Linked DNA regions of Sus scrofa. The protein of the gene in region 1 interacts with the protein of each later gene in a biochemical or structural test. Links are inferred from orthologs where the notes say so. Each region holds a gene or a part of one and is shown in the gene's direction. Other genes may lie near its edges. The genes, in order: MAP3K1, MAPK8 and MAP2K4.

The links.
Region 2: of the proteins of MAP3K1 (region 1) and MAPK8, one has a biochemical effect on the other in vitro, tested with the Homo sapiens proteins (3 studies listed by BioGRID, with this or other methods). The link is inferred for Sus scrofa from reciprocal best matches to the Homo sapiens genes MAP3K1 and MAPK8.
Region 3: of the proteins of MAP3K1 (region 1) and MAP2K4, one has a biochemical effect on the other in vitro, tested with the Homo sapiens proteins (7 studies listed by BioGRID and IntAct, with this or other methods). The link is inferred for Sus scrofa from reciprocal best matches to the Homo sapiens genes MAP3K1 and MAP2K4.

What each region holds. Positions count from the first base shown.
Region 1 is NC_010458.4:35,924,517-35,934,544, forward strand, and holds part of MAP3K1 (mitogen-activated protein kinase kinase kinase 1), read left to right. Parts: intron 1-1,695; coding exon 1,696-1,817; intron 1,818-2,392; coding exon 2,393-2,474; intron 2,475-2,580; coding exon 2,581-2,764; intron 2,765-4,874; coding exon 4,875-5,153; intron 5,154-8,228; coding exon 8,229-8,350; intron 8,351-10,028. UniProt on the Homo sapiens protein: Component of a protein kinase signal transduction cascade. Activates the ERK and JNK kinase pathways by phosphorylation of MAP2K1 and MAP2K4. May phosphorylate the MAPK8/JNK1 kinase.
Region 2 is NC_010456.5:88,983,676-88,994,247, forward strand, and holds the start of MAPK8 (mitogen-activated protein kinase 8), read left to right. Parts: upstream 1-5,238; 5' UTR 5,239-5,417; intron 5,418-10,572. UniProt on the Homo sapiens protein: Serine/threonine-protein kinase involved in various processes such as cell proliferation, differentiation, migration, transformation and programmed cell death.
Region 3 is NC_010454.4:56,397,673-56,408,332, forward strand, and holds the start of MAP2K4 (dual specificity mitogen-activated protein kinase kinase 4), read left to right. Parts: upstream 1-4,356; 5' UTR 4,357-4,412; coding exon 4,413-4,530; intron 4,531-10,660. UniProt on the Homo sapiens protein: Dual specificity protein kinase which acts as an essential component of the MAP kinase signal transduction pathway. Essential component of the stress-activated protein kinase/c-Jun N-terminal kinase (SAP/JNK) signaling pathway.

The sequences.
Region 1 (10,028 bases):
ATTAGGAGTTATCTTGTGGTGCAGCGGGTTAAGGATCTGTTATTGTCACTGCAGTGCCTTGGGTCACTGCTGTGGCACAGGTTGTCCCTGGCCCAGGAACTCCCACATGCTGCAGGTGCCCCCTCCCAAATTATAAAAAGCAAGGAATTTAAAAACTCTTCTCTGTACTCTGTGCTTATGCAGATTCACACACACACCAATACTACTCTCATCTTTCTTATTTTTAAATAAATATAAAACTATATATTTTAATCTGCAACTTTTTTTTTAAATTTAAAAAATGTTTTTACTTTATATATCAAGAAAATTTTCCTCAATACAAAAATATACACTACTTTCTTTTAGTAGCTGGCTACATAAGACTGAATGGATGAGACACAATATATTTTACCATTGCCATAATTAATGGACATTTAGTAACACTTTTGATTTTTTGTTTGCCTGTTAAATGCAAAAAATTTTCTTTTTTGTTTACACACAAAATACTTCTGTAAGACAGCATCCTAGAAAATAGGTTTTTTTTTAGGTCATGGGTATATACATTTAGTACTTGAAGAAATACTAGCAAATTCCTTTCCAAAAATTTCAGGTTTTTTATTCCTACCAGTAATATATATGAGAACCTGTTTTCCTGTGCCATTATCAACCTATTTAATTTGTGTGGGTCAGATTATCCTCCACCAACCCAGAAAAAAAGACAAATAAAATAAGATAGAGCTTTATTAATTTAACATGTATTTTGTACTTTTTCCAAATTTATTGGCTACTGGTATTTTTCATTTATCTTCTTTTCTCATTTTACTGTTAATATTTTTTTTACCAATTTTAAATCCACTTCGTATAATAGGAATAGTCAAATATATATAATTCAAATATACATAATAAAGTTATAATTTTGCCATAAATGGAATCATTCTAAAAAAGCTAGAATTCTGTCATGTTATCTGTTGTTTTTCACCATACAGCATACTATGGATATTTTTCTTTGTCATCATGCATGGATCTCTTTGATCCTTTTCAGAGACTTCATAGTGTCTTGGTGTACCATTTTTTTAAAACACTTTTTGATGTTCACTTGGTTGATTTTTTTTCCAATATGCCAAATAATACTGCAGTGAACATTCACACAAATATATCTTTATTATTTGTGTCCATTCCCTTATGATATATTCCTTGAAGGCTAGTTGAAAGGTTATATGCATTAAAAATGTGATATATTTGTTTCTAGGAAAGTTGGATCAGTTTATAAACCTACCAAAAGTGTCTGATATGGGTCTTAATACTTAAGGATGTGGAATAGATGAGCTCTGTGGTTCTTCCAATACTTGAAATCTTGAAACTGTTGGCATATAGTATGCTTGTACATAGTTAAACCTTATTAGCAGTTTGTTTATTCAAAAGGTCCAATAACAGAATTTTGGGGACACATATTTCTCTTAAGATTGTAGTTCATATATTGAATTATAGTCATAGCAAGAAAAGGTTAAACCATACCCACAACCTGTAAATTCATAATGGTGTGAATCTGATTCAGAATTACTGTGTATTAACAGGAGAAATACTTCTCTTATAACCTATACAAGAATTTTAAATTATTTTTCATAGTCCAAAGAAACCAAAATTGTTTTTAGCAATATGGCATTAATTCTCTTACATTCTTTTGTGGATAATGCTTTTGTTTCCTCTTCCTTATAGTATAAAAGATGAAGAGGAACAGATGTGTCCTATTTGCTTGTTGGGTATGCTTGATGAAGAAAGTCTTACAGTGTGTGAAGATGGCTGCAGGAACAAGCTGCACCACCACTGCATGTCAATCTGTATGTGGCTTTTTTTTCCCTATGCTTATTCAACACAGTTACTCTGTGAGCTAACTATGATTCAGGACTTGAACATAGCCTCTGGGGAGACTAGCGAGAGAAGGAAAGAAGTATATTTACGCTATATGTGAAGTTTTCAATGAACAGTAGTTCAGGATCTCTTAGGAGATGAACTATGTGAGCAAAGAAATGTTAGAAAGTGTGACACGTGTGGTAGTGGAAGTCACTCACAGAATTAGAGTTGTGATCTGGAAGGTGCACATTGGGGGAAGGAGGTGTAGGAAGGCCTGGACAGGCGTTCCAGAAAAGGTAACATCAAAGCAAGCTCTGGAATAGCATTACCAGTTTATCAAGTGGGCAGAATGTTTTGAAAGAGAGTCCATAAAATACATCTTATATAACTTAAAAAATAGCATTTGCAGAAATTACGAGCATTAGAATAACCTGCTATGTTTAGAATTTTTTGAGGTTCCTTCCATATAAATTCTAGATTAACCATTATGAACAATTATTACATAAATACTTAATGTTAAATATTTATATTTTTGTCAGTGTTTTTTTCCTTAATTTTTCAGGGGCAGAAGAATGTAGAAGAAATAGAGAACCTTTAATATGCCCCCTTTGTAGGTCTAAGTGGAGATCCCATGATTTTTACAGGTAAAAATTATGAATTAATGATTTGGGTATGTTTAATAAAAATGCTCTCAGAGTGTTATTTAAATCCGTTAATTTTTTTAGCAAGCTTTGTTAATTTTTCATTTAGCCATGAGTTGTCAAGCCCTGTGGATTCCCCTTCTTCCCTGCGAGCTGCACAGCAGCAAACCACACAGCAGCATCCCTTAGCTGGATCACAACGAAGGAATCAGGAGAGCAATTTTAACCTTACTCATTATGGAACTCAGCAGATCCCTCCTGCTTATAAAGATTTAGCTGAGCCATGGATTCAGGTAAGTAGTTCTTATTCTTCAGTTCTCCATGAAACATTTATAGACCAATTAATGTAGTTGTCTCCCCAGTTGTTTATAATTTAAGAAAGTACTTTTGCTTATCTCCATCATGACTCATTTCATTGAGAATTTTCATTTTACCTTTGGTGTTAATACTATGCCACTTACAGAGTTAAACTTCAAAAATTCTTTGTAGTCTTACCTCCCATCTCTAGAAACATCTTCCTGAACTGACAGACATAAACATTTACCCAAGGATAGAGGATCCATTTAATAGTAACTTGTCCCAGTGTTTAATCCCATTCCTTCCAAGAATTTCTGTCATTTTCTTATTTGCTTCCATTTAAAGTCAGTTTCTTCTTTCTGTATTTTTCATGGTATATGTTAGGTACTAAAAAATTGTTAAATGGATGAGTAAGAAAAAATATGTGGTATTTGCCTTGTATTAGTCATTTTTATTTGTAAGGACAGTTTCCATTCCTTTACTTTCTCTTCTGCTTAAATGCTTTTTCATCCTCAGTAAGTCAGAATTTCGGTTGGTTGGTTGGATTCTAATGATGTTTTTTGTTGTTGTCTGATTAGTCCATTTTTTTTTTTTAATGTAGAATCCAAAACCAGACAATATCTCCAGTAGATAAATAGTGAGGTAAAATATTTTCAATAATCTGGTAAATTCTGTTTAATAATTAAACTTGTAAACAGATACAATAATTTAAGCTTATATATCAGTAGGATTTATTTCCTTTTTCTTTTTGTGACCATTTATAGTCCTGCAGTTTTTGAATCCTCTTTTCTCAGCATTTTAACAACCTAATATGAATGTAGCAAAATTTGCAAACTTAATAAATATATCTCATTTATTTTTACCTAGTTCATTAATGGTTTTTAATGTAGGCCCTCACCTGCCCCTTCATGAATCCTCAAGAAAACTGTCCTGTTGATATTGAGCTATTGGATGCCCATTTTTTCAAAACAGTGGCCTAGTTTGTTTTGCTTAAGCTCTAGGTTGGACTAGGCTATATGCTCCTAATTTTTTAAATAAGAATATCATATTAGACATATGCATATAATAAATCCACTATATTTTAATTGATTTATTCTCCTTTATTATCACTTTAGTATCACATTATCAAAGAACACATAAAAATGTCATGATTTATTTTCCCCAAATTTCTGCTTATTCATCTCTAACATTTAGAAAGTTTTCATATGATGCGTTATCTTAGTTAACTGTACCTTTAGCTCTGGTCCATAATGTCAAGACAATGCACCTGTTCTTTTCTTTAAGGACTCTTTGGCTTTGCAGATATGATAATGATAGCTATAATGACATGCACTTTAATTATAAATATTTCATTATCCTTTGCTGATTTAAACACAGTATTTTTCTTTAGTCTTTTGATTTTCCACTGCATTTATTATATATGATATATATATTTATGTCCACACCTTTGGCATATGGAAGTTCCCATGCCAGGGACTAAATCCGAGCCACAGCTGTGACCTGCACTCAATCCTTTAACCCACTGTGCTGGGCCAGGGATTGAACCTGCACCTTACAGCAACCCAAGCTTCTACAGTTGGACTCTTAACCCACTGTGCCACAGCAGGAACTCATCATATTTTTTTCTAATTAATCAAATAAGAACCTTTGACTTAGCACTGTCATTGATAGGAGAAATACTCTGTATCTTGAACGTCAGCCCCAGTGCCTTTCTTGTCTTGGCTTTGTTTGTTTTTTGTTAATCTTGCTTCAGTTTTTTTCTCTGTAAAATACCTTAACACAAATACAGATTTAAGGTTCTTCACCGATTTATTTTGTTTTGTGGCAAGCGCAAGAGTACAGAAATGCATATAAATCCATCTAATTGCCTAATGGTGTCCACTCTTAATTTTACTTGAGCTAATATATGTTAAGGGCTTTTGATAATTACCAGTTAAACTTCAGTATAAAATTCCTCCTTATGGACATGTTTTTAAATTGTAGAGTGTGGTGAAGATTTAAGAAATGACCAATTTTCTTTTAGTAATCACAAATCATGCTTAATGCAAAACACTCTAGGTTCATTGCTTTTTCTTCACATTGACCATTTTGTTTGTTTGATTATAGGTATTTGGAATGGAACTCGTTGGCTGCTTATTTTCTAGAAACTGGAATGTAAGAGAGATGGCTCTCAGGCGTCTTTCCCACGATGTTAGTGGGGCTCTGCTATTGGCAAATGGGGAGAGCACTGGACATTCTGGGAGCAACGGTGGAAGCAGTCCGAGTGCTGGAGCCACTAGTGGGTCTTCCCAGACCAGTATCTCAGGAGATGTGGTGGAGGCGTGCTGCAACATTTTGTCAATGGTCTGTGCTGACCCTGTCTACAAAGTGTACGTTGCTGCTTTAGTAAGTAGCTTTATTCTATAACCATAGCATTATGGGTTTGTTTAGGGGGGTTTTGTGTGTGACAGTTTGCATTTATCATTTTTAAGATTCAGCAAAACTACTTTACCTGATTGAATTCTGGAAAATTCAAATTTAGTTTTTATCCATAGTCCCGGAAAATTCAGTTTTCTAATTAATCTGTTCATTTGGATGTCACTTTTCTTTATACTATTTACTTTTCTCCCCTAAAGTAGCTGTTCATATCTTTACATTTGCCTTACCTAATACATGACCAAATCAAAAATATTTTATGGGATAGCAAGGTAATCAAAGTTACTTTGATTTTTTTTTTAATTTGATATTAATAGACATGAAGAACAACTGATTTTCAATAAACATTGGTGTATGGAAATTCAGAAGCCTTTTCACAGAAGAGAGGATTCCATGACATAGATTACTGAGTTTTTCTGTTTTAATCTGTTAGAAGTTATCTTTCATGAGTAGGATGGAATGACAAGGCAGCTGTTGTTTGTAATTTTGGAGGCTAATTTGATTTTCTTCATTATGAGTGTGTGTATATATATACATACATATATATATATATATCTTTAGAAGAGGGTTTCTCAGCCTCTGTACTTACTGACATTGAGAAAGATAATTATTTCTTGTAAGCAGTACTGTCTCATGCATTGTAGGATGTTTAGCAGCATTCCCAGTCTCTACCCACTAGATATCCCCTCCCCTTAGTCATGACAGCCAGCATTGTTTCCAGGCATTGCTGACTGTACCTTGAGGGTCAAAACTGCCCCCCAGTTCAGAACAGCTGCTTTAGAATAATTCTTATCTAGTCTGTTTTTAAAACTCACTCATCTCTTTGCTTCCACTCGTAATCTTTTTCTAATCCATCCTATAATAACTATGAGAGATAGTTTAATGTGGTTGTGAACATTAGTTTGGAGTCAGAATTGAGTGACTTCATAATTTATCATCCCAGCTGGGATATTTGAATAATATGCTAATTAAACTGGGACTGGTCTAGGCAATTGGGATGTATGGTCAAGATCATAGACACCTTGATTCAAATTCCGGTTCTCCAGTTTGCTAGAAGTATAACTTTTAGGACTCTTAAACTTTAGCTTTCTCTCCTATAAAATAATGGAAGTATTTATCCTTTAGGTCTGAGATGAGACTGAGTAGAAACCTTTAACCATAACATCTAGTACACTGTAAGAACACTGACTATGGTAGCTGTCATTATTCCTTAAATGCCACTTTATTCTCCAGCCCAGAAACCTTTAGAGGTTTCTTTTTCTTTAGCAACATTTCCTAAAACATATTCTGTGAAGATTTGACTGAATTATATAAAGTCCCTGAAGGACTTCTATGTTCAGTTAAAATTGATGAGCACTGAATTACATGAGGTTAAATGGGTCTGTTCACTGAAAGCTTTCTAGGAACTTCCAGTGATTTCACATACATTGGGAATCTAATCATGGGGTAAGATTAATTATTTCCCAAATTGATCTTACCATGATCTGTTTTTCATGTAGCGTCTTAAGGGACCAGCATACCAGCACACTTTACAATAAAGACCAGGGTTCTTGGCTCAGCCTTTTACCTCTTTCATCTTAACTGTTTTTGAATGCAAACCTTGACTGCTCAGTATACTGTCTTACTATTTGGTTTATTATTATTGTTATTATTCCCAATGAGTGTGTGAGCTCATGGAGTACAGGGACTCTGTGAATGATGCTGTATTCTGATTCCTCTACACTTATTTAGTGTGATAGGCATGGTGGAGGCAGAAATGGTTCCGGTCCTTAGAGCTCTCCCTTCCCTTTCTCCCCTCCCTCTTGCCTTCTTTGTCTTCCTCCTTCTCCCTCACCATATATAATTTTTTCCTGAACCATTTGAAAATTATGTTCAGGCATCATGACGTTTCCCTTTGAATACTTTAGCTTTTGTCTCTTAAGAACAAATACATTCTTATGTATAACCACGGTGCAGTCAGCATACTCAGGAAACTCGGCATTAAAAACATTACTGTTATGTACATATTAAATGTTAAGTCCATATTCACATGTCCCCAATTGTCCCAACTGTGTCCTTTACAATTAACCTGCAGACCTTAATCAATTTCATCAGTTTTTCCATTAGTGTCTTTTTTCTCTTTTGGGATCCAGTCCAGGGTCTTACCTTGCGTTTAGTTGTCATGCCCCCTCAATCTCTTCCCTTCTGTGACAGTCCCTCAATCTTTTTCTTTTGTAGACTTTGACATATCTTTGAAGTATACTGGCCAGTTATTCTGAACAGTTTCCCTCAATTTGGGTTTATCTGATATTTTCTCATTATTAGATTATATATGCAACTTTTTTTTTTTTTTTTTTTGGTAAGAACACCAGAGGTGATGTGACCTTCTCAGTGAATTGTTATCAGGGGTACATCGTGTCAGTCTAATTATTGGTGATGCCATCCTTCATCACTTGATTAAGGTGATGTCGTGGGCGAGTTACTTTAAGACTGTACAGATATCCTGTTTCTATTCACAGATTTTATTAGCATTTGTCAGTGGATCATGCCCACAGCAATGATTACTATGGTGTTCTAATGGTGATCTATTTCCTGTGTTCCTTCAGTATTAATTAATTGGAATTCTTCCATAAAGAACAGCTGTCTCTTCTCCCCCATTCATATATTTATTCAGTTTTTTATTTCCATCACCATAGACTCATAAGTACTTATTTTATTCTATGAGTTATAATTCAGTATTATGACGTATTTTGTAGTTCACATTACTCTAGCTTTGGCCATTGGGAACTTTTTCAAGTTTGCTCCTTTTCTTTTTAAAATAACTTGCATTTTGAAATTAATTCAGACTTTCAAAAATAACGGAAATAGTTGAGAGTTCCTTTCTACCTTATCTATTTACTTATTCAATTTTTTATTTGTATTGGTTATCAACTCATAGAGTCTTATTTACAGGTAATAATCTATTCCTGTTGTTATTTTGTTTCTCTAGTTGTCTCAGATTAGGCCATTGTCTCTGATGCTTTTTAAATATAGTTAAACTAACCTTCTGTTTCCTCCCCCCACCAGAAAACGTTGAGAGCCATGTTAGTATATACTCCTTGCCATAGTTTGGCAGAAAGAATCAAGCTGCAGAGACTTCTCCGGCCAGTTGTAGACACCATCCTTGTCAAGTGTGCAGATGCCAATAGGTAAGGCCTTATCAGTGAGCTGCTTCAAACCCTCTTGTCTTAAAAACATAGCATGGAGCCTCACACCTAGTGAATATTTGATCCATACTTATTAAATGAAGCTTTAAATATTGCTTTCTAATATTAGATTTGAAATTAACATGTAATAGTTAAAGGTCTTAATGACTAGGAGGAAGAACTAATGGCAAGGAAAAACCATGCTAACACACTGCATGGACCTCCACATTATTGTGCTATGATTGGTTCTCTTTTATTTTTTATTTTTTTTTGGTCTTTTGTTGTTGTTGTTATTGTTGTTGTTGTTGCTATTTCTTGGGCCGCTCCTGCGGCATATGGAGGTTCCCAGGCTAGGGGTTGAATTGGAGCTGTAGCCACTGGCTTACGCCAGAGCCACAGCAACGCGGGATCCGAGCCGCGTCTGCAACCTACACCACAGCTCACGGCAACGCTGGATTGTTAACCCACTGAACAAGGGCAGGGACCGAACCCGCAACCTCATGGTTCCTAGTCGGATTCATTAACCACTGCGCCACAACGGGAACTCCAGTTCTCTTTTATTTTAAAGTAATATTCTTAAACTGAAGTCCAGTTGATAAGAACAATAGCTGATATGTATGTGTATATATATAAAGTGTAATCTCATTTTAGAGAGTTACATGGGATAGGAACCAATAAAATGATTATACATGCTTTGCATTATCAGGACTGAAAAAAAAAACAAACCCCAACTCGGTTCCATTATTTTGTGATGGAACTTTATTCTAATTATAGTTTATGTCAAATAACAACAGCAACAGAAATTCCAAATATCCTCACCCTATCCTTAGAGATCAGCAAGAAACAGGAATAGCCCTAATTGGAGAATTGGAGGTATAAAGATTTGAGGTAAAGAAATGAGGTATGGTGATAGAGAAAATGAGCACAAACTATGCTTTTATTAAACCACTGGTTCTCTCTGCCCTCACCCCCTGACACCTTTCCATAAAGTGGCAGGAAAAGGCCACTTTTCATACTTTTCATATAATAAGGCATAGCTACAGTAAACACTTGTAGCTGTTCTCATCTCTTCATGTCCCAGCAGATCTCAGGTGGTAAGAAGCACTGACTCTCCCTTGTTTTGCCTCTGACATTTCACTCTTGGAGCTCTCTCAGTCCAACTTTGTCTTCTTTCTTAAGCCACATGATGCAGTAGTAGAGGGTCTCAAAAATTAAGCACTTAACTTTCTTTGACTTTTCTCATCTCATGAAGTCTATCTTTTGCCTCCATTGTTTTCTCTACACAAGCCTACAGATTGTAAGTATTAGAGGTTTTATTACTGCTTACAGAGAATACTATAAATATCTGAAAAAATTTAACAAGTAATTTGCAAAATGCATAGGGAAATCATTTTGCTTCTTTTTTTTTTTTTTTTTTTCAGTCTTTTTGCTATTTCTTGGGCCGCTCCTGCGGCATATGGAGGTTCCCAGGCTAGGGGTCTAATCGGAGCTGTGGCCGCCAGCCTACGCCAGAGCCACAGCAACGCAGGATCCGAGCCGCGTCTGCAACCTACACCACAGCTCACGGCAATGCCGGATCGTTAACCCACTGAGCAAGGGCAGGGACCGAACCCGCAACCTCATGGTTCCTAGTTAGATTCGTTAACCACTGCGCCATGACGGGAACTCCTCATTTTGCTTC
Region 2 (10,572 bases), on another chromosome or scaffold:
TCAAATGGGAGAAAGAAAGTCTATTCAGCAAGCATTGCTGGGAAACCTGGACAGCTGCATGCAAAGCAATGAAACTAGAACACACCCTCACACCATGCACAAAAATAAACTCCAAATGGCTGAAAGACTTAAATATACGACAGGACACCATCAAACTCCTAGAAGAAAACATAGGCAAAACACTCTCTGACATCAACCTCATGAATATTTTCTCAGGTCAGTCTCCCAAAGCAATAGAAATTAGAGCAAAAATAAACCCATGGGACCTCATCAAACTGAAAAGCTTTTGCACAGCAAAAGAAACCAAAAAGAAAACAAAAAGACAACTTACAGAATGGGAGAAAACAGTTTCAAATGATGCAACTGACAAGGGCTTAATCTCGAGAATACATAAGCAACTTATACAACTCAACAGCAAAAAAACCAATCAATCAATGGAAAAATGGGCAAAAGACCTGAATAGACATTTCTCCAAAGAAGATATACAGATGGCCAACAAACACATGAAAAAATGCTCAACATCGCTGATTATAAGAGAAATGCAAATCAAAACTACCATGAGATACCACCTCACACCAGTCAGAATGGCCATCATTAATAAATCCACAAATAACAAGTGCTGGAGGGGCTGTGGAGAAAAGGGAACCCTCCTGCACTGCTGGTGGGAATGTAAACTGGTACAGCCACTATGGAGAACAGTTTGGAGATACCTTAGAAATCTATACATAGAACTTCCATATGACCCTGCAATCCCACTCTTAGGCATCTATCCGGACAAAGCTCTACTTAAAAGAGACACATGCACCCGCATGTTCATTGCGGCACTATTCACAATAGCCAGGACATGGAAACAATCCAAATGTCCATCGACAGATGATTGGATTCGGAAGAGGTGGTATATATACACAATGGAATACTACTCAGCCATAAAAAAGGATGACATAATGCCATTTGCAGCAACATGGATGGAACTAGAGAATCTCATCCTGAGTGAAATGAGCCAGAAAGACAAAGACAAATACCATATGATATCACTTATAACTGGAATCTAATATCCAGCACAAATGAACATCTCCTCAGAAAAGAAAATCATGGACTTGGAGAAGAGACTTGTGGCTGCCTGATGGGAGGGGGGAGGAGTGGGAGGGATCGGGAGCTTGGGCTTATCTGACACAACCTAGAATAGATTTACAAGGAGATCCTGCTGAATAGCATTGAGAACTATGTCTAGATACTCATGTCACAACAGAAGAAAGGGTGGGGGAAAAAACTGTAACTGCAATGTATACATCTAAGGATAACCTGACCCCCTTGCTGTACAGTGGGAAAATAAAAAAAAAAAAAGATGGAGATAGAGATGGAGACAGAGGGGCCATGGAGATGGACCTACCAGTGGTGTGATCTTCTCTTTGCGATAGGACCTAGACAAATTCTCTGCAGGACAGAAGTTACAAATGGCAAAATTCCACTGGGCTGGAAGAAATTGCAGGTGACAGGATTGTAAATGAGGCAGATAATCTTTATGGATAGATATGACAAAAAGTCTTCTTCTGGAATATGTATTTATTTAAAACAACAGCAAGGATTTTCTTTATTGTTACAGGACTTCAACGACATATTCTTTCCTTCCTACTCAGTTCCCTTTGTCTTTTTCTCCAGGGGATAACTATTGAATATCTTCAATACCTGGATATGAATGGAGAGAGGGCAATTTAGCATCAGCATATCTAAGCTGTGGCAGGTAGGAGTAGTACATTAGGGAAAAAACCCAATAATGAAAAAATTCCTCAGGTCTGCCTCTTTTTCTGATTCAACCTCCAATTGGCTTACAAGGAACAATAATAAGTTAATAACAAAAAATTCCCTGAGAAGGAAGAAGGAGGCCCAGAGCTGTGTCTGGGTTATAAAATGGAATTTAAATTTACAGAATATCTGGAGTTCCCATTGTGGCACAGTGGTTACCGAATCCGACTAAGACTGAGGTTGTGGGTGCAATCCCTGGCCTTGCTCAGTGGGTTAAGGATCTGGCATTGCCGTGAGCTGTGGTGTAGGTCAGAGACGCGGCTCGGATCCTGCATTGCTGTGGCTGTGGCATAGGCCAGTGGCTACAGCTCCAATTCGACCCCTAACCTAGGAACCTCCATATGCCGCGGGAGCGGCCCTAGAAAAGGCAAAAAGACAAAATAAATAAAAAAATAAATTTACAGAATATCAGAGACGATGATATTCAATCAAAACCTATAAAATGCTTTCTGAAATCACACACATGCATGTATACATATGTAAACATGCAGGATGTCCTTTCTAGATGTAGGTAATTAGAAGCTGACAGTGGTAGGCTGATGCTAAATCAGAAGCTATTCCTGTAGGAAGAAAGCAAGGCTTTTGAAAGTAAGACTATTAATGTTGTTATAGAACTAGGCCTGAAATTTGGGAGCTCTCTTCTGCAATCCCCCTCACTTCACAACTGCTCTGATTATACTGTCTTGTTAGCTCCAAGTCTTAATATTATCTAGTGGGAGTAGGAGGTACCTGCCAATACTTCCACCTGTGTATACAGTCACACAATCTCTACTCTTACTCTTCTAGGAAAACTTACACATGCTTTTTTCTTCTATTCTACTTCTCCCTCTCAACAGTCTCCCTATTAGATGTAAACCATGCTTGTGTCTTGCTTTACAGACTGACTCATCAATATCCAACATCTCCATATTAAGTCTCCCATTCATTCTTAGCCTACTCTAAACTGCTTCCGAAAATAAGTACTCCAGGATTTTAAGCCTCCTCTCATATTTGATATTATTGATCACTCCTTTCTTCTTGAATCTCTCTCTCCTAGTTTTCCTTCTACCTCCTGGCAGTTCCTTCTCAGCTCATTTTTTTTTTTCTTAGCCATTCAGTACTGAAGTTCCTCAAATCTGGCTCTCGGCCCTATTTTCATCTTGCTCACTGCCCCCCATCCTTCGGGCCTAGGCTAACTCATCCACACCCAAGGATTCAAGTCACCACTATCTTGTGATTCATAAGTGACTCATATCTTATTCACCTGATTCCAGCTCTGGATACCCAGCTGCTAACTTGGTATCTCTTTGGGGCAGATCAAAAGCCTTCAAACTAGCTGCTCTCACAACCTTTCCATTCAATCCCTGTCCTCTTCCAAGATTCGCATCTCAGTGAATCAATATTGCATTCATCTTTGGCCACAAGCAAGAAATCTATGATTTTCCTTGATGACTACCTTTCCTTCACTGCCCACCTAATCCATCAGCAAGTTCTGTGTATTGGATCTCCTAAAATGTCTTCAGATCCTTACTCTTACTGTTTCCACGACTATCACCCTAGACCAAGCCTCTGCCGTCCGTTATCTAGACTACTCCTATATCTAACTGGCCTCCTTCCAACAAGGAATCCTTTTAAGATGCCATTCTGACCATGCCATCCCCTTTGCTGAAGCATGTCAGGAGCTTCCCATTGCACTTAGGATAAAGACAAGAGTTTCAGCATAGGTAGTATGGCTGTACTAGAATTGGTCCTTTTCCACCCTTCCAAACTTCATCTCATAGCTCCTTCTTCCTTGCTCTTCCACCAGCACCTGGCTTTCCTCAGTTTTTACCTCTGTCTAAAATATTTTCTGTCTAGTTGAATCTATTCTTAGTTCAAGAGGCAGGTCCTCAAGGAAGACTTTCCTGGCTTTATTAACTCTATCAGTTTGTCCCATAATTCTATATATGCATATAAATTTGTATTATGATGCAGTGATCATTTTGTATTTGTTTACTGTTATTTCTATTGTAATATAAGTCTATAAGCTCCATCCTATTGCCAATGTTAGCACAGTACCGGGCACAGAATGGGTATGTAGTATGTATTTCTTTAAGAAACAAAGGAAGGAAATAAAGAAGCCCTGAGAGGGAGGGAGGAATTGGGGAGAAAATGAATAAATGAACATGCACATTAATGCTTCATTTCAGAATCACTGGAAATAGGCCAGCCCAACATAACATGGAAAATAATCTACATGACTTCATTCATTTCTTCAACAAATATCTGGAGTTCCCATCCTAGCTCAGTGGTTATTGAACCCAACTAGTATCCATGAGGATGCAGGTTCGATTCCTGGCCTCACTCAGGGGATTAAGGATTTGGTGTTGCCGTGAGCTGTGGTGTAGGCTGGCAGCTACAGCTCTGATTAGACCCCTAGCTTGGGAACCTCCATATGCCATGGGTGTGGCCCTAAAAAAAGATCCCCCCAAAAAAACCCCGAAATATGTATTTTTCATTATTAAAATAATATACTTTTTTCTGATTATGAACATAACTTGGAAACCATGGAAAAATACTCAAAGTACAAGGAGAATCAATTTACAGCTCAATGATGAATTACTGTTAAAATAAGTTGTCATGTTTCCAGTTTTTTCCTTTTATACACAGTATATAAGCAGGATCATCATCTAACTATCTATATATATAATATACATAGGCTTGATTCTTTCTCTTAATGAAGTATGATGAACATTCTCCTGTGTGGTTAAGAATCCCTTGAACACACGGCATTTAAATTGCTAAAATGTGTTCTTTTGCAAACATGCATGTAATATAGACATCTTTCCACTGGTCAGATATTTAAGGACTTGCCAATTTATCACTTCTACAACAAACATATACATGCTTTGAGGGGCCCAAAGACAAATAGGGCAATGCATGGAATCTTGTAGGAAGTGGATCTGGGGAAAACAGGAGGCAGCTTTTTCCAGGTGGCTGAAGAGAATATTTGCTCGTGGGTTGTTAGGCCTGGAGTAGATGTCCTCAGAATGGGACGTACTGTCAGTCAAGGTAAAGAGCCCTCCGTCACTCAGATGCTTGACCAGGCCGGGGTGCCTGCTCCCTGGGCGGGTCTGGCCTAAGCGCACTGACCTTCAAACCCTGAGGCAAAGAACCCCAGAGGCTTTGCCTAGGAATAGCGTACTGCCCAGGTACACATACTAGGCTCTCGGGCCATATGCCGCCACGTGCCAGGATCAGGGCCCCGCCCCATCCAGCTTCCCGCCACGCCCCTCACAGTCCGCATTCAGAGGCTCTCCCCGCAGCTCCGCCTCCCGGCGACCTCCGCAAGTCCTCCCGGCCCCCTAGAGTAGCCCCTCCCCCGGATGCGGGCCCCGCCCCCGCAATCCGGGCCCCGGGGCTGCCCCGCCCCGCGGCCCGTTCGCGAAGCGCGGGGGCGGGGCCCTGCGCGATGACGTGGGCGGGCGTGCGCCGTGACGGGCAGCGTCTCTGTTACTCAGCTGAGCGGCCGAGGCCGGACGACGCTGCCCGGAGCGCGGAGCCGCGAGCAGCGCTGGGTAACGGCCGCGGCGACCGCCGGGACGGCGCCAGTCTCCACCGCCTAGGTTTTCTGTTGCCGTTCGCTGCGCTGCCAGGTGAGTGTGGTGAGAGCTTGAGGGCCAGAGCCGGCGGCCCCGCGGTGTTTATGTTATTGTGCCGCCGCCGCCGCCACCGCCGCCGCCTCTCTTCAGCCGTGACCCCCTCCCGGGAGTGGGGGCGGGAGCTCGCGGCGGGCGGGGGGCGCGCGGCCCGCGTGGGTGGCGCGGGAACAATAGCTGCGGGATAGGCGGGGGCCGCCCTGGGGGCGTGAGGCTGCGGGACCCTGGCGCGCCCCGCCTGCCCCCCACTCGCCCCCCGCCTGCCTCTCCAGCTCCGCCCGTCGGTCCTCAGGCGTTCTCCTAGCGCGGGTCCGGCGTCCGCGTATGGAGGGATAAATGAAACGGGAGGTTGGTGGCAAGTTCTGAAATACTTCGGCGAAGGTCGGAACGGAGGCGCCTAGGCGGCCCGCCGCGCCCTGGCTGCCTTCCCCGGCAGTGGAGAGCCGGGGAAAGCGTTCCGGTGGCCGGGACCCGACGCCTGCCCGGAGCCCACGGGAACAGTGTTTTGTTTCTCGGTGGTTTCTTTGTGCTTATGTTGTGGGCGAACGCAGGCGGCGGCGCAGAAAGACTGAGGTGGCCTTCAGCAGGGCTGCGAGGGAGAGCCCGGGCCGGTGGCTTGGGCGGGAGGTGCCCGTCAGGCTCGGCGCGAGCTTCAGTGGTCAGCGCGCATTTCTCATGAGGGTCACTCGGTGGTGACCTTTTGACTTTTTCACCCCACCCTCCCTTCTCTTTGTCTTGCACTTCTGTTCACAATCCTTAGGTCGTAGAACCGGGTCTATTTCAAGGTACCGTGATGAACACAAAAGTGTTTTATTTTCATTTTAATTTCTGAAAGTTTCCTATCATGTGTTTACTGTGGACTTAATAACATGTTGACTGCACGTTATCAGACAATGTCAATTGCTTACTATTTTTACCTCTGAAATTCAGTGATCTTTCCCGAAGAATTCTGGTCTGTCAGTCCATTGTGTTTTAAGATAAGCATCCAGCAAGTACCCCCTTGGTAATTAGAACATCTGTTTATTTCATTCATTCATTCATTCATTCATTCAACAACTGTTCAGTACTCTACCCAGATGGAGAGTTTGAGGGTAAAGACAAATATCCTTTAATGGAAGAAGATACTTTGAATGGATGTACCTTTAAATGAGATTTAAATGAAATTATGTAAGTAATGTGTGTTAAAGAAGGTATAGCTATATTCTGGGTCATTTTACTGTTTTGGTAGTACATCTGGAATGTTAGGCGTAACCTTAAATGTATTAGGAAGTAGAGTTATATTTGGTCTAAATGTACAGCTTTCATGTATTTCTTTACAGTCATGTGTAATGTTTACTTCAGAATCCTCTGCTGTGGGTTAAGCCTAGGAGGTTAGATGCTGTGAGTGAACATGTTTAGTGCTGTACCTGACATAACCAAGCAGTCAGAATGGGACTTCCTTCAGGACAGGCCTGTCTTGGATCTGTGTCTCCAACACCTAGCCTGGAATATAGTAAGTGTTAAATAAAACTCAGATCACTGAAAAGCTCTTTACAATTGATAATATTGAAACTCAAGCCTTAACAAAAAGCATTTAATGTTCTTCGTAAAGTTTTGGAAGCCTCATGCAAACGGGTCACATCCAGATGGCTAAATGATCAGTTCGTATATATATTGTCTGTCACAACAGTAAGGGTTTTTGAATCACTTCAGTATCAATTTTTTTTCCTTATTACTTCTGAACTATCCTAAACTTAAATCTTGCTAAAATATTTTTTACTCTGTGTGTCTGTGTATGTGATATGTATATTTCAGTGATATTTCAGTAAGCCTCTAAAATGATTATTTATCCTTTTGTGAATATTACTTGAAATGTTTCTCGATACTCCTTTAAGTGGAAAAGTTAGACCAAAAGAAACAAATGGCATAAAAGTTTTATTAGAAATCCTTAATATCTAATTACATTTTATTAAAGTTTGTTAGAAATGTTTTGGACTAATAGTATTAGGCATATGGGTCTAAAACTCAAAATAATATTTATCCACAGTACATGTCTTTTCTTCTCCCTACTTAATATGTTTTAGCACTTATTTTGGATATGAAAGAATTTGAGGTGAGCTTAAGAGTGCAAATAAAGAAATAAAGTGATACTTTATTAAGATAGGGATGAAAATCTTGAGATACTAAACTTTTATTGCTTTACCTAGTTAAAGTATGTTAAATTCCAGTAAGGGTTACTGATACAAATCCTCTGGTCAGGCTTTAGGTGACAAACCCAAAGTGTTTTTGCTTTGTTTTCTAAACTCTGTTGGTTTTAAAGAATAACAGCTTTTTCAAGATATTATTCACATGCCATAAATTTATCCTTTTAGAGTGTGCTTCAATGGTTTTTAAATGTATTCACAAAATTATGCATTGATCACCTCTAATTCCAGGACATTTCATTACCTCCAAGAAGAAACCCCACACCCATCAGTAGCCACTCCCTGTTCAACTTTACCTTATTTTTAAAGGAAGAGATAGCACTGATTTTGTTTTAGTAAGTGTATGCATTAATGAATTTGAAAAGGACTCCTTCTAAGTATCCTGGCAGAGTGGGAAACTTTATCCTTCATATTACTTTATTTATTTTTTGTTGTTGTTGTTGTTGTTGTTGTTATTGTTGCTATTTCTTGGGCCGCTCCCGCGGCACATGGAGGTTCCCAGGCTAGGGGTCGAATCGGAGCTGTAGCCACCGGCCTACGCCAGAGGCACAGCAACTCGGGATCCGAGCCGCGTCTGCAACCTACACCACAGCTCACGGCAACGCCGGATCGTTAACCCACTGAGCAAGGGCAGGGATCGAACCCGCAACCTCATGGTTCCTAGTCGGATTCGTTAACCACTGCGCCACGACGGGAACTCCCCTTCATATTACTTTAAATCCTGTGAGAAAGGCCACTTGAAAGGGAAATTCGTTTAAGAACAAATTTACCAAAATTAATGAAATTAGGTACTTAAATTTTGTTATTTATTAATTTAGTTAGTTATTTCTGTGCCCATGCCATGTGGAAGTTCCTCGGCCAGTGACTGAACCCAAGCCACAGCTGTAACCAGAGCCACAAGCAGTGGCAATGCTGGATCCTTAATCCACTGAGCCACCAAGGAGCTCCTAATCTTTAAATTTTTGTTTGCTGAGTGCCTAATATTGTGGAAATAACCTGTGTTTATACTCAGTGCTCACCAAAACTACTTGAAGTAATTTATTAAGTGACTAGTCACAAACTATCCTAGTGCCAATTAAGAGGTTGTTGAATAGAAGCCTGATTCTTAATGTCTTGCTTTGTCATTGAGTTGAGTTTTGAGACATATTTGTGTCATTTAAATAGTTGAGATGCTTTGTTGCATATGTATATAAAACAATGTCTGATTTTAAGATGCCAGCTCTCTAGAGGTCTCTGATCAAGTCAGTAGTATGGATGGTAGTCTCTCTGATTCATGTAGAGCAGGGAAGTCATCAAAGCCACATAGCTTTAGATGTAAATCATTTGTCTCTCTGAGCTGTGATGCTTATTGTCTTAGTCATGAGCTCTTTCCATGAACATTTAGTAGCTTTTTCTTCTTGCTTTAAGGCAGATTATTTGAACTTTGATTTCAGAAATGAGTCAACAAACTTTACTACGTAACAGGTGACAGGAGTATTAAAATAAGCTGTTCTATCATTCAGGGTCATAGGTGGAAGTAGACCTGTCTAGGAATCAGACCTAGGTTCATTTTTTAGTTCTGTCATCTGGACCTTGTCATCAGCAAGTTATAGAGGTGTAGGCAGGCAGCGTACCTTTTTGGTTAGAACTATAAACTGACACTGTTGGAATTTTTCTTCTTTTTAAATAGAAAAGTTGTTCCCCAGATAGATGGTTCTTCAGAAAACATACTAGGACAAAAGGAGTCCTTCTTGGGTGAAAGTTAGATTTTTGTAATCTACAGAAGCAGAGAAAATTGTTGCATCAGATATTTTCTGTGATGGAGTTCCCATAGTGGCTCAGTGGTTAACGAACCTGACCAGTATCCATGAGGACGCAGGTTCAGTCCTTGGCCTTGCTCAGTGGGTTAAGGATCCGCCGTTGCCGTGAGCTGAGGTGTAGGCCGGTGGCTGCAGCTCTGATTGGACCCCTAACCTGGGAACCTCCATATGCCGTGGGTGAGGCCCTAAATTTTTTTTTTTTTTGTGATGACTATACTTATAAGTCAAATAAAAAGCTTCATTATAAGGAAGGAGTTCTTTGGTTAGTAGATTTTTATTCATTCCACAGCACCATGCTTACTAACAAGACTGTGCTTTCAGACTTCGTGGAAAATATGAAAATGAAGAGTTTATTAGCTTCAGGAACCTCATGATCAAGGGTGGAATTTAATGCATACCTAAACAGTGCTTTTTTGTTCTATTAAAGATTGTGAGAGGGATTCCCTCCAAATGAACAAAAGCCTACCCTAAACCTCTGGGCAGGCCAAATTTCATTGAAATCCAATTTTTAAAATTATATATAAGGAGTTTTAGAATACTGCCGTTCTTTTTCAGGGTGGCAGGTTATATCACAAATATATGTCTCCATCTCCCATTACCCTTTGGTAGTGCATCAGGTTTGGCTAAAATATGCCAGCTCTTTGGAAAGTTAAGGTACCCAGACTTAACAGTGGCTGCTGCAAATCTAACTATGTGGTATAGGCTAGTTCAGGTTACATAACATCTTTAGGCCTTTTTTTTGTTTGTTTTTTTTGTTTTTTTGTTTTTTTTTTTTTAATGGCCACCCCCAGGGCAGTTCCTGGGCCAGGGATTGAATCAAAGCTGCATCTGCGACCTATACCACAGCTGCAACACCGCATCCTTTAATTCAACTGCACTGGGCAGGGGATTGAACCTGCACCTCTCTAGCAACCTGAGCAGCTGCAGTGGATTCTTAACCCACTCTGCCACAGCAGGAACTCCTTTGGACCTGTTTTATTTTCTGTCATATGAGAAAATGTGAAAGTGAAGAGTTTATTAGCTTCAGGAACCTCATGATCAAGGGTGGAATTTAATGCATAATCTCAGAGGCCTGTGAGGTTTAACTGCATGTGCAGTACCTGGAATGCTAGATGCAGGTATTAAGGAAATTTTAGCTGTTGTTATCACTTACTATTTTTAACTTGGAAC
Region 3 (10,660 bases), on another chromosome or scaffold:
AAAAGCTGTACTTCTTTTAAGCAAGTTGTTATTGAGAACCAGGTATTGGTTTGTTATGGCTGCAATAACTAAGACCCCAGACTGGGGCTTAACCTATAGAAATGTATGTTCTCACGGTCCCGGAGGCTGGAGGTCCAGATCAAGGCGTTGGCAGGGTTGCTTTATTCTGAAGCTTCTCTCGTCTTCTACCTGTGTCTTCACACTGTCTTCTCTCTGTGTGCCTCTGTGTCCTATTCTCTCCTTTTTTTTTTTTTTGGCCGCACCCACAGCATGGGGATGGTCCTGGACCAGGGAACGAAACTGTGTCACAGCAGTAACCCGAGCCACTGCAGTGACAACTCCAGATGATCCCCGACCCACAGTGCCACAAGAGAACCCCCTCTCAGTCTTATGACAAACTCAGCATTAGGCATTATTCAGCAAAAAACCTAATTAGTTAGATATCACTCTTTTTGTCTGAAAACCTGCTTTATTTCTGCTTTCTTCAAATACTTTTTGTCACATTTTAAAGTTTTTTGTAATTAAAAATTTTTTATTGAAGTATAGTTGATTTACAATGTTTTGGTTTCTGGTATATAGCAAAGTGACTCAGATATATGTATGTGTATACATATATGTATGTACATATGCATATATATCTTTTCATCTTTTCTATTATGATTCATTACAGGATATTAAATATAGTTCTTTGTGCTCTACAGTAGGACCTTGTTGTTTATTGTTTCATATATAATAGTTTGTATCTGCTAATCCCAAAATCTTAATTTATCCCTCCCCCACCCTTTTCCCCTTTGGTAACCATAGGTTTGTTTTCTATGTCTGTGAGTCTGTTTCTGTTTTGTTTTTCTTTTTGGTTTGTGTGTGTGTGTGTGTGTGTGTGTGTGTGTGTGTGTGTGTTGTTCATGCCCTGTGGAGCTGCCTGGGTCAGGGATCCCACACCACAGCAGTGATAATGCCAGGTCTTTACCCCATGGAGCCACTGGGGAACTCCTGTTTCTGTTTTGGGAATAAGTCCATTTGTATCATATTTTAGATTCTACAATATGTTACTCTTTTAATTCAGCTTTCCTGAATGAATTTCCTAGGTTGAATGTTTTTCTTTAGGCTTATTTGTTACCTATATTTTTCTCTTTCAAGTTCATTTAACTGTATCAAGTCATTGTTTTTCTTATTTGATTCGACTTTTTTTTGTCACTCAAAATATAATTTTTTTTCTTTTTATCATTTTTTTATTAAAGTATAGTCGATTTACAATGTTGTGCCAATGTTTGCTGTACAGCAAAGTGACCAAACTCTTTTTGAACAATCTTCAATGTATTGGAAAACTATATGGTTTAAAACGTTTTTTTTTTTCTAGAGTAGTTGCCTAATATCTAGTATTTCTTCTAGGATTTCCATTAAATGATAGGTTTCTACTAATGAAATATGTATAATTGGAGAAGGGGGCTAGTGGCACTTTACATAAGACTGTGAGGATATCATTTGTCCACCTCAAAGAATGGGGGAGAGATTCTCCTAGTACTTATGGGGGTGGGCAGACTCAAAGTCTGCAGAGTCATTTCTTGCTACCACTCTAAAACCAAGGAACTGGAAGTCAGAAATGAAATGACATACACCCACAGTGACATTTAAACAACTACAATTAGTTGCAAAACCTACTGGCAGGTCCCAGACCAAAGTGTCAGAAAATTACTCAAATAGAACTATTTGGTGTCTGGTAATCCTGCATCTGGAGCCTGATGATGACATTTGGTTTGTTTGGCAGAAAATTGTGGGGCTATGGATGTCTTTTCCCAGTATGCTAAAGTGGCCAAGCCAATGGAAATGCAGAACAATTGCTTGGGGTGGGGGTGGGGTCGCTATTATTTTGCATCAATCTTTGCTAATTGTTGGCAAGTCGTGTTGATGTTTTGAGAGAAGAATTTCATTTTTTTTTTTTTTTTGGTCTTTTTGACTTTTCTTGAGCCGCTCCCACGGCATATGGAGGTTCCCAGGCTAGGGGTTGAATCAGAGCTGTAGCCACAGACCTACACCAGAGCCACAGCAACCGGGATCCGAGCCATGTCTGCAACCCACACCACAGCTCACGGCCATGCCAGATCCTTAACCCACTGAGCTAGGCCAGGGATCAAACCTGCAACCTCATCGTTCCTAGTTGGATTTGTTAACCACTGAGCCACGACGGGAACTCCGAGAATTTCATTTGATTTTTGATGCAAACCCTCCAGGCACTGAAATATAAACCTCATGGAGTTCCCCTCGTGGCTCAGTGGTTAACGAATCCGACTAGGAACCATGAGGTTTTGGGTTTGATCCCTGGCCTCGCTCAGTGGGTTGAGGATCTGGCATGGCCGTGAGCTGTGGTGTGGGTCGCAGACGTGGCTTGGGTCCCAGGCTGCTGTGGCTGTGGTGTAGGCTGCAACTACAGCTCTGATTAGATCCCTAGCCTGGGAACCTCCATATGCTGCGGGTGCGGGCCCCAGAAAAGACAAAAAAAGAAAAGAAAAGAAAAGAAAAGAAAGAAAGAAAAGAAAAGAAAGAAATATAAACCCTGGACAAAAGCCATCCTTCAATCTATACCTCAAAAGAAGAGAATTTAGGGAGCCATAGATCCCTTTTCCCTGGCATTTGTCGTTTCTCTTCCCCTCAGCACCAAGCCCAAGATGTAGAGGGGGTATTTAGCTTGTACTCTGAGCTCAACAGCCTGGATGGGATACTTTCCTTGCAGGTTCTGATAATATTTCCTTTCTGAAGACCTCACACTTAGGATACCCCAGGACCGACGAGCAAAGTGGGATATTGATTCCCAGATGGGAATTTGGCAACGCTTATAATGACCTGAAGTTAGAGATATCACGCCATCAGCCAGGTCTTCAGAGGTGGGTTCTGGCCAGTTGGGAAGTGAGGCCCTCCACTTAAGTAGAGCTCTCTGCTCTCCCCTTCCATTTGCCTTCACTGCCTGCTGGGTTTACATTCCCTAAGCCCTCCCTCCAGCCACTGTTAGGATCTGAAGGGTCAAGATAATGGTCGAGGCTGGGTTTGGAGGAAGAAGGCAGGGTTCTCTTGAAGGTCACATTTCCAACCTGCTACGAGGAAGTTCCAGCACAGATAAGGTCTGGGTGGGAAGTGTCCTGGTACAGATTTCGTAATGCTTCTGAAGGGCAGGAACCTCCCACTCCATGGTTTTAGACGACTCAGCATGGGCATTCTACATGTAGGTAAGACTGCCCAGAGACTCACATCTTACCTCTCCAATTATATGTCTGTTTGTCCACAAAGCCCCACCTCACAGAGAACTTTTTTTTTTTTCCTTTTAGCTGCTGCCCTCCTAAAGTCAGTCTCTGTGCCAAGCCCTGAAAGAAACCTGATTTTGTTCTTTGAGGTTGTCATTTTATTCATATATAAATTATATAATTTATATGACTGCTCTTCTAAGGTATAGAGGAGGTGGGGGAGAGAATTCAGTGTGTATTTAGGGGAAGATGCTTATGTAGATAATATATTTTGGGAGGCTGAGGACTTGGGTGCCTAAGATCCTGTTTTTTGGGAGTTCCCATTGTGGCTCAGCAGAGACCAATCTGACTAGTATCCATGAGGACCCAAGCTTGATCCCTGGCCTTGCTCAGTGGGTTAAAGAATCCGGCATTGTGGTGAGCTGTGGTGTAGGTCGCAGATGCGGCTCGGATCTGGCGAGGCTGTGGCTGGCTAAAGCTCGGATTCTACCCCTAGCCTGGGTAGAGCCACAGGTGCAGCCCTAAAAAGACTTAAAAAAAAAAAATCCTGTTTTTCAGATTTAATGTGCATACAAATTATTACATAGATTCGTATTCCGTAGTCTTGAGATGGGTCCATTGACAGTGCTTTCAGTAGCATCCCTTAGGATCCCCAGGGCAGTGTGGAGAGATGGGGTGTTAGGTACGGCCTAAGAGGATGTGCAGCTAAAGCCCACGCCCCTCCCAAGCGCCACATCAGAGACCTGACAGCACACACGACCCCTGGGGTCCCTTTCAGTTTTACAATGGTTTTGGTTTCTAAGATTCCAACACCGGGCATCTTAAACTTTGGGGGTGACAGACCTCAGTAGGAACGATGCAAGCTATGTATCCTCTTATCCCCCAAATGCACGCAACCCCTCACTCGGCAAACCGCTTTAGGCCCCGCGTGGGGCCCGCAGCCCTGGCCCAGGACTTGTGCCGGCCTCCGTGGGCTTGGGCACCCACGACCTGGGCGGCTCTGCAGCGCGGCATCTGGTGCGGCTCCGCGTCAGGCGCGGGCGGAGGCGGGCCTGGGGCGTGGCGGGGGCGGGCCGGAGGCGGGGCCAGGCGGCGTCGGCCACGCCCCTCGGCCGTGCGAGAGGCCGAGCTTGCTGCATTGCAGCCGCCGCGGCGCCGCTCGGCTCCTCACTCCCAACAATGGCGGCTCCGAGCCCGAGCGGCGGCGGCGGCTCCGGGGGCGGCAGCAGCAGCAGCGGCACCCCGGGGCCCGTGGGGTCCCCGGCGCCCGGCCACCCGGCCGTCAGCAGCATGCAGGGTAAGGAAGGCGGCGGCGCCGAGACCCCGGCCGCCCGGCGCGGCCGTCGGCGTCGTCGCGGCCTGTCCCCGCGCCCGCGGACGCCCCCGGACCCGGCTGAGGAAGCCACCGGGGCCGCCCGCGCCGGCGCGCCTCCCTCCCTCCCGGCTTCCCGCCCCGGGCTCGGCCCGGCCCCGGGCGGCGGCCGGCGCAGGCTCGGGCCGCGGCCTCCGCCCGCGCTCGGCCCCGCGGCCCCGCGGGCTCCCGGCCGGCGGCGGGGCCCACCTGGCCCGGGCCCGCCCCCGCGGCCGCCCGGCTCGCGGCCGCCGCTTACCTGGCGCGCCCCGCCCGCGTTTCCGGGCGCGCGCCGGCCGGGCTGCGGCGGAGGCGCCCGGGCCTGGCCCGCGGTCCGGCCGCGCAGGTAGGCGGCGTCGGCGGCTTCGGGGGCCCGCGCCCCTCGGCCCGGCGCCCCGCCGCCTCCGCCGCCGCAGCGGGGCCCGCTCAGGGCCATCTTGGTTCCCTGCGGGCGCCGCCGGGCCCGGCCGCCCAGCTGCCCTCCGGGCTCCGCGGTCCTGGTGGACCCTCGGTGCCCAAACTTCTGCGGGGCTTCTGCGCGCCGGCAGGGCCGGGGGTTGCCCGGGCCTGTGCCACCTGTAAGGTAATTAGACAGCCGGTGGCCTGCGAGAGGCGATTTGTTCCGGGCCAGGGATTTCTGTGCTGGCGTTGCATGCAGACAAAATAAATAAACAAGTGAGAAAAGGGGGAATTCGGTTTACAGGGAGAGCTCTGGGAAGTGGAAAGGCCGGGGTCAGAGGGGCTCTGTGCGGTGGCTGGACATCGGAAGCAGCGTCCTCATTAAGGACTTTTCCCCCGGGAATGCCCATTAGCTCTGCACGGCCCTTGACAAGGGGGTGTTGTGAAAATGCCAGGCCCCAACCCGTTTGCGAGCGTTTCCTTGAGTTTACTGGGGAATTTAGACGAGGAATGTTATTTTTGAATCAGGGAATCTCAGAAATCTCTTGGTCAGTTTTCGCAGACTGCTCGAATTATTAGCAGACTCCGTCGGAGCACCCTTCGTGGTCGGCGTGACCATGGTGACTCTTTGATTAAAAATTGCTGAAAGGGCTGCGAGGTCTTTTAACCGTGTGTCTAGTTAGGTTTGACGTTTATTGAGTATTTGGTGTTTAGGAGAGAGTGTGATTCAGGAAGCAGAGGCAGGATTTTATTCATTTTTATGTCCCTGTCGCCCTCCCCATGAGATAATTTAATATACATAAGGAATGGTGGTAGATATATAGACAGGGTGATGTCAGCCGCGAGGACACTTTCTGTGCAGGCCCTCTGATGATTAATTCGGATTGAATTAGTTACTGGATGTCAGCGTCTTGCACCATATACAGATGAAGTGCAGGATGGGTTTCCTGGTGTTCCAGCTTTGCAGTCTAGTTGGTGGCAGTGGTGAAATGAAACAGCAAAATGACAGGTTAGGATGGTATTGTATAGCCACAACGGGTGACTTAGAAAGCTTATGAGAATGCAAGGGTTTTGTTTTTTGGTTTGTTTTGCTCTTTTTTTTTTTTTTTTTTTTTTTGAGGAGGGTAAGGGAGGCTGATAGTTTGAAGAAGCTGCACAAATTAATTTTTGTTCCCAAATCATGTACTATGTATTGAGCATCTGCTCTAATGCCAGGCAAAGTATGCTAGTGCCAGGTATACAGAAAAGTGAGTTGAATGGTCTCCTTGCTGACGGAGCTTACTTCCCCGATAGGATGGGGGAGGGAAGACAATACGTAGATAATAAGAAATGTTACTCATTGAGAAAAGTGTTACAAAGGTGACAGGCTGGGTTTTGTGATAGGAAATAATAGGAGAGGGAGCAGTCTAATAAGATGGTCACAGAGGACCTGTCTGGAGAGATGACTCTCGCAATAAAGAAGGGAGTTCCAGGCAGAGCGAGCAGTGTGTGTGAAGCTTCCAAAGTGGGAAAGAGCTTGGAGTGTTCTGGGAACTCACAGTCGTTGTGGTCAGGAATTATTCTGATGCTCTCCATTCTCTTCCCCCAGCCCTGGGTGTGGAGACCCAGTCAGCTGAACTTTCTAATAAGCAGAACCCATTTTAAAGAGGAGAGGGAGGGCATGAGACTTCTCTTTGAATTATTGATGAATTTTCTTTTGTCAGTACTGTGTGTAGCCTTGACTGACGCAGGAACCTGTTAGTTCTATCTTCTTGGACCTCTCTCGATTGCTCGGAATGAAGAGAAACACTTGGAATTCTCAGGATGTTCTCTAGCACAGGCTACACAGCCAGAGCTTAAGCGGCGGTGGAAGATCTTTTTTAGTTTGTTTTGTGATGCTAGAGCCTAACCGCCCTTACTTACTTCATCTGCCAGACCTTTGGCTTTAGATCAGACTTCAGATGCTTAGAAGATGTTTGGTAAATGCCACCCCCCCAACCCTGACACTTGCCACCCCCAAATACTGTCTCTCCAGGAGCGCATGTCTCCAGCGTGGGACATCCAACAGACATGGGCGGGCGCTCTGCGTCATAAACACTGTGCTGGACACTGGATCACCCTGCGCGTCTTTTCATGGCTTGAGGTCCATGGCCCAAGAGTGGCCTCTGTGTTTGTTTGTTTTTTTTTTTTTTTTTTTTTTTTTTTTAATATCATGATGCTTGAGTTAAGGCAGAGCTCTGGAGCCCTGGATTTGAAACCCCCACCCCCACCAAACAGGACTTAAGATTTTTGTGACCTTGAACAAGATCCTTAACCTCTCCAAGCCTCAGTTTCTCAGTTGGAAAGTGGGAATAATGCTTACCTGAAGGGAACTTTAAGGATGTATAGAAAGTGTGGGCCTGACTGAGAGTAAGGATATGATTGATACTTGTTAACTGTAGTCACTCTTTTTTTTTTGTTTTGTCTTTTCTAGGGCCATACCCGCGGCATATGGAGGTTCCCAGGCTAGGGGTCTAATCAGAGCTGTTGTCGCCAGCCTATGCCAGAGCCACGGCAACATCAGATCCGAGCCGCATCTACACCCTGCACCACCGCTCACGGCCATGCCAGATCCTTAACCCATTGAGCGAGGTCAGGATGGAACCCCCAATCTCGTGGTTCCTAGTTGGATTCTTTAACCACTGAGTCAGGATGGGACCTCCCCCGTCTGTAGTCACTCTTAATAGCAACAGTATTCTTGTTTGTAAGGCTCTAGTTAATTGTGTTAGTAGCAGATGAGTAGCTAACACCTCATGACCTGTCACAGTTTCTTTAGCTGCATTATTATTGGGTCCTACCCTTTTCTTTAACCTATTTATTTCCATTTTTCATTATTGAGCATTTCTGTTCAGAATATTCTTGATGAGTCTGTATTCTACTTGGGTTCAGGTAACTTCTCTGCCATGTACAAACTCTATGACCTTGGGGAAATTACTTACCTTTTCTGAACTCATCTGTTAAAATAGGGATTATACTTACCTTCCAGGGCTGTTGTTGAGAATCACATTATTAGATTAAGGAACATGAAAGTGCCTTGAAAATTATAAAATACCTCCATATAAAGATTGCTATTAGATATGGTTATTTAAATGCTTTAGTTACTGGCCCCTTAAAATGTAGTAGATTAAAAAAGAAAAAACTCATAGGAGTTCGTATTGTGGCTCAGTGGCTTACGGACCCAGCTTGTGTCTGTGAGGATGCAGGTTTGATCCCTGGCCTTGCTGACTGGGTTAAGGATCCTGCCTTGCTGCAACCTGCAGTGCACGTCACAGGTGCACGTTACAAGTGTGGCATAGATCCAGTGTTGCTGTGGCTGTGGTGTGGGCCTTGGCTGCAGCTGCAATTTGACCCCTGGCCTGGGAACTTCTATATGCCACATTTGCGGTTGTAAAAAGGAAAAGATACCTCATAAACATAAGTTAAATTTATTATAGACTAAAGTAGGGAAGAAGAAAACTTTTCATTAAATTTTATTGGGTGTCTCAGAAAGGTCAGTTTTTTAAAAGTGATTAGAATAGTAAGAATCTATAATTGATTCTGAAAAACACGGAGGAATTGGTAAAGTACTAGTTACAGGAAATAGTTATATGTTGTAAGTGCCTCAGATTCTCTTCATGTGCTGATCTAGGCAGTTTTTCTTTCTTTCTTTCTTTTTTTTTTTCATTTTCAGTCTCAAATATAGATGTATAAAAGAAAACTTGGAGTTCCTGTCATGTCTCAGCAGAATCTGACTAGTATCCATAAGAATGCAGGTTCGATCCCTGGTTTCGCCCAGTGGGTTAAGGATCTGGTGTTGCCATGAGCTGTCCTGTAGGTCGCAGATGCGGCTCAGATCCCGAGTTGCTCTGGCTGTGGTGTAGGCCAGCAGCTGTAGCTCCGATTCGACCCGTAGCCTGGGAACTTCCATATGCTGTGAGTGTGGCCCTAAAAAAAGACCAAAAAAAAAAAAAGAAAAAGAAAAAAGAAAACTTATGGACTAGTTCAGTCTTTATCCATTTACCCTCAGCAGAACATTTTATAAATATCAATTTAAAAAGATGCAGCTTGATTCTACTTTGTAAAAATATACAAAGTAATGTACAACGTAGCGACTGTAGTTACTAACACTGTAATGCATATTTGAAAGTTGCTGAGAGAGTAGATCTTAAAAATTCTCACCACAAGAAAAAAATTATTTGCTATGTGTGGTGATAGTTGTTAACTAATTGTGTGACAGTCATTTCACGATATGTACAAATAGCAAATCAAGTTGTACACTTGAAACTAATGTATGTCAATTATACCTCCATTCACAAAATAAAAAATGCATACACAACTTTCAAGTGCAATGAAACATATCTGTTAAGAAAAATGAAAATTTAAACTCATTATACTTTTTTTCCAACATTATTTGCATATACAGTGTATGGAATGCCTTGTTTGACTATGTTTTTACCATTTTAGTCTGGTTTTCAAGAACTGTAGGAGGGTATCTTCATTCTAGTTTAAAGAACTGAATTGGGTGGACAATGGGTATAGTTTCAAACCCTAGAATTGCTTTCCATTCTCATGTGTTGTATACTATTTCTTTCACCATTTATTTGGCATGACCTGATAAATAAAATCCAGCTCAGGAAATTGGTCCCCCCTCAAAGCACATATTGCATTTCTCTATGTTCCCATAAAAAGAAGAGCAACCTTAGTATTAAAATTTAAAGAGTAGAAGAACATACTATTTCAGGATACTCGTTTTCTCACACTTCCTGCAGTGTCCTTTATCAGAGCGAATGCGCGCTGAAACTTGTTTAAGATGGGATGTTAGTGAACTCTGTGTGTTGAGTCATATTTCTTTTGTTGTAATTTTTCTCTTTTTTCTATTCCATTTCTGTTACCTAATTTGAGAAGCTGGATTGGTTTGGACCCATAGAGATTTTCTTATTTTTTGGACCCCTAGCCTGGAAACATCCATATGCGGCAGGTGTGGCCCTGAAAAAGACAAAAAGACAAAAATAAATTCATCAATTAATTAGGTAATTTGCCCTAGCTGAAGTGGGTTTTAATCCCCCTGTGTGGCAGGTGGCCTTTGCCCTTCTTACTCTACTGCACAGGTTCACACGGCTTCTCCGAGCTCCCCTCTCAGCCATTCAGGTCTGAGAGAAGGATCTTTGCCAGAAGTGATGCAGATCCAGGAATAGAAGGACGAGATGATTTTAGGTTTCAGTCAGGGGGCGGAAGCTGTAAGCATCCAGCATGTTTGGGTTGCTTTTGGCGTCTCAGTGCTTTCCGATGCGTCTTTATGTTGCACACGTCTTTCTGCACTTGCTTGGGAGGAGCGGGTTACCCTGGCATTTGAATTTGAGGGCATTTTGTTTGGGAATCTGCAAATAAGTAGAAAACTCTAATTAGATGTTGGCGCAGGAGGCCAGTATAGATTTGAAAGGTGATGAACTCCTTCCAGGCCATATATGATACAGAAAAAGGCACCCGCTTAGCTTAAGAGTTAATGACATATGTGGCCATCCTGGCTACATTTGTCGCCTGGGCTGCTCACTGTCCTGCCTGCTCATGGGCATGGGTTCGCTTCTGACCCTTTCCCCAGCTCCAGAAGCTCTTCATGTGTCTCTTCTCACACATGGCAAGACTGGGAATTAACGAGAACTCGTAGAAAGGGTTCAAGGGC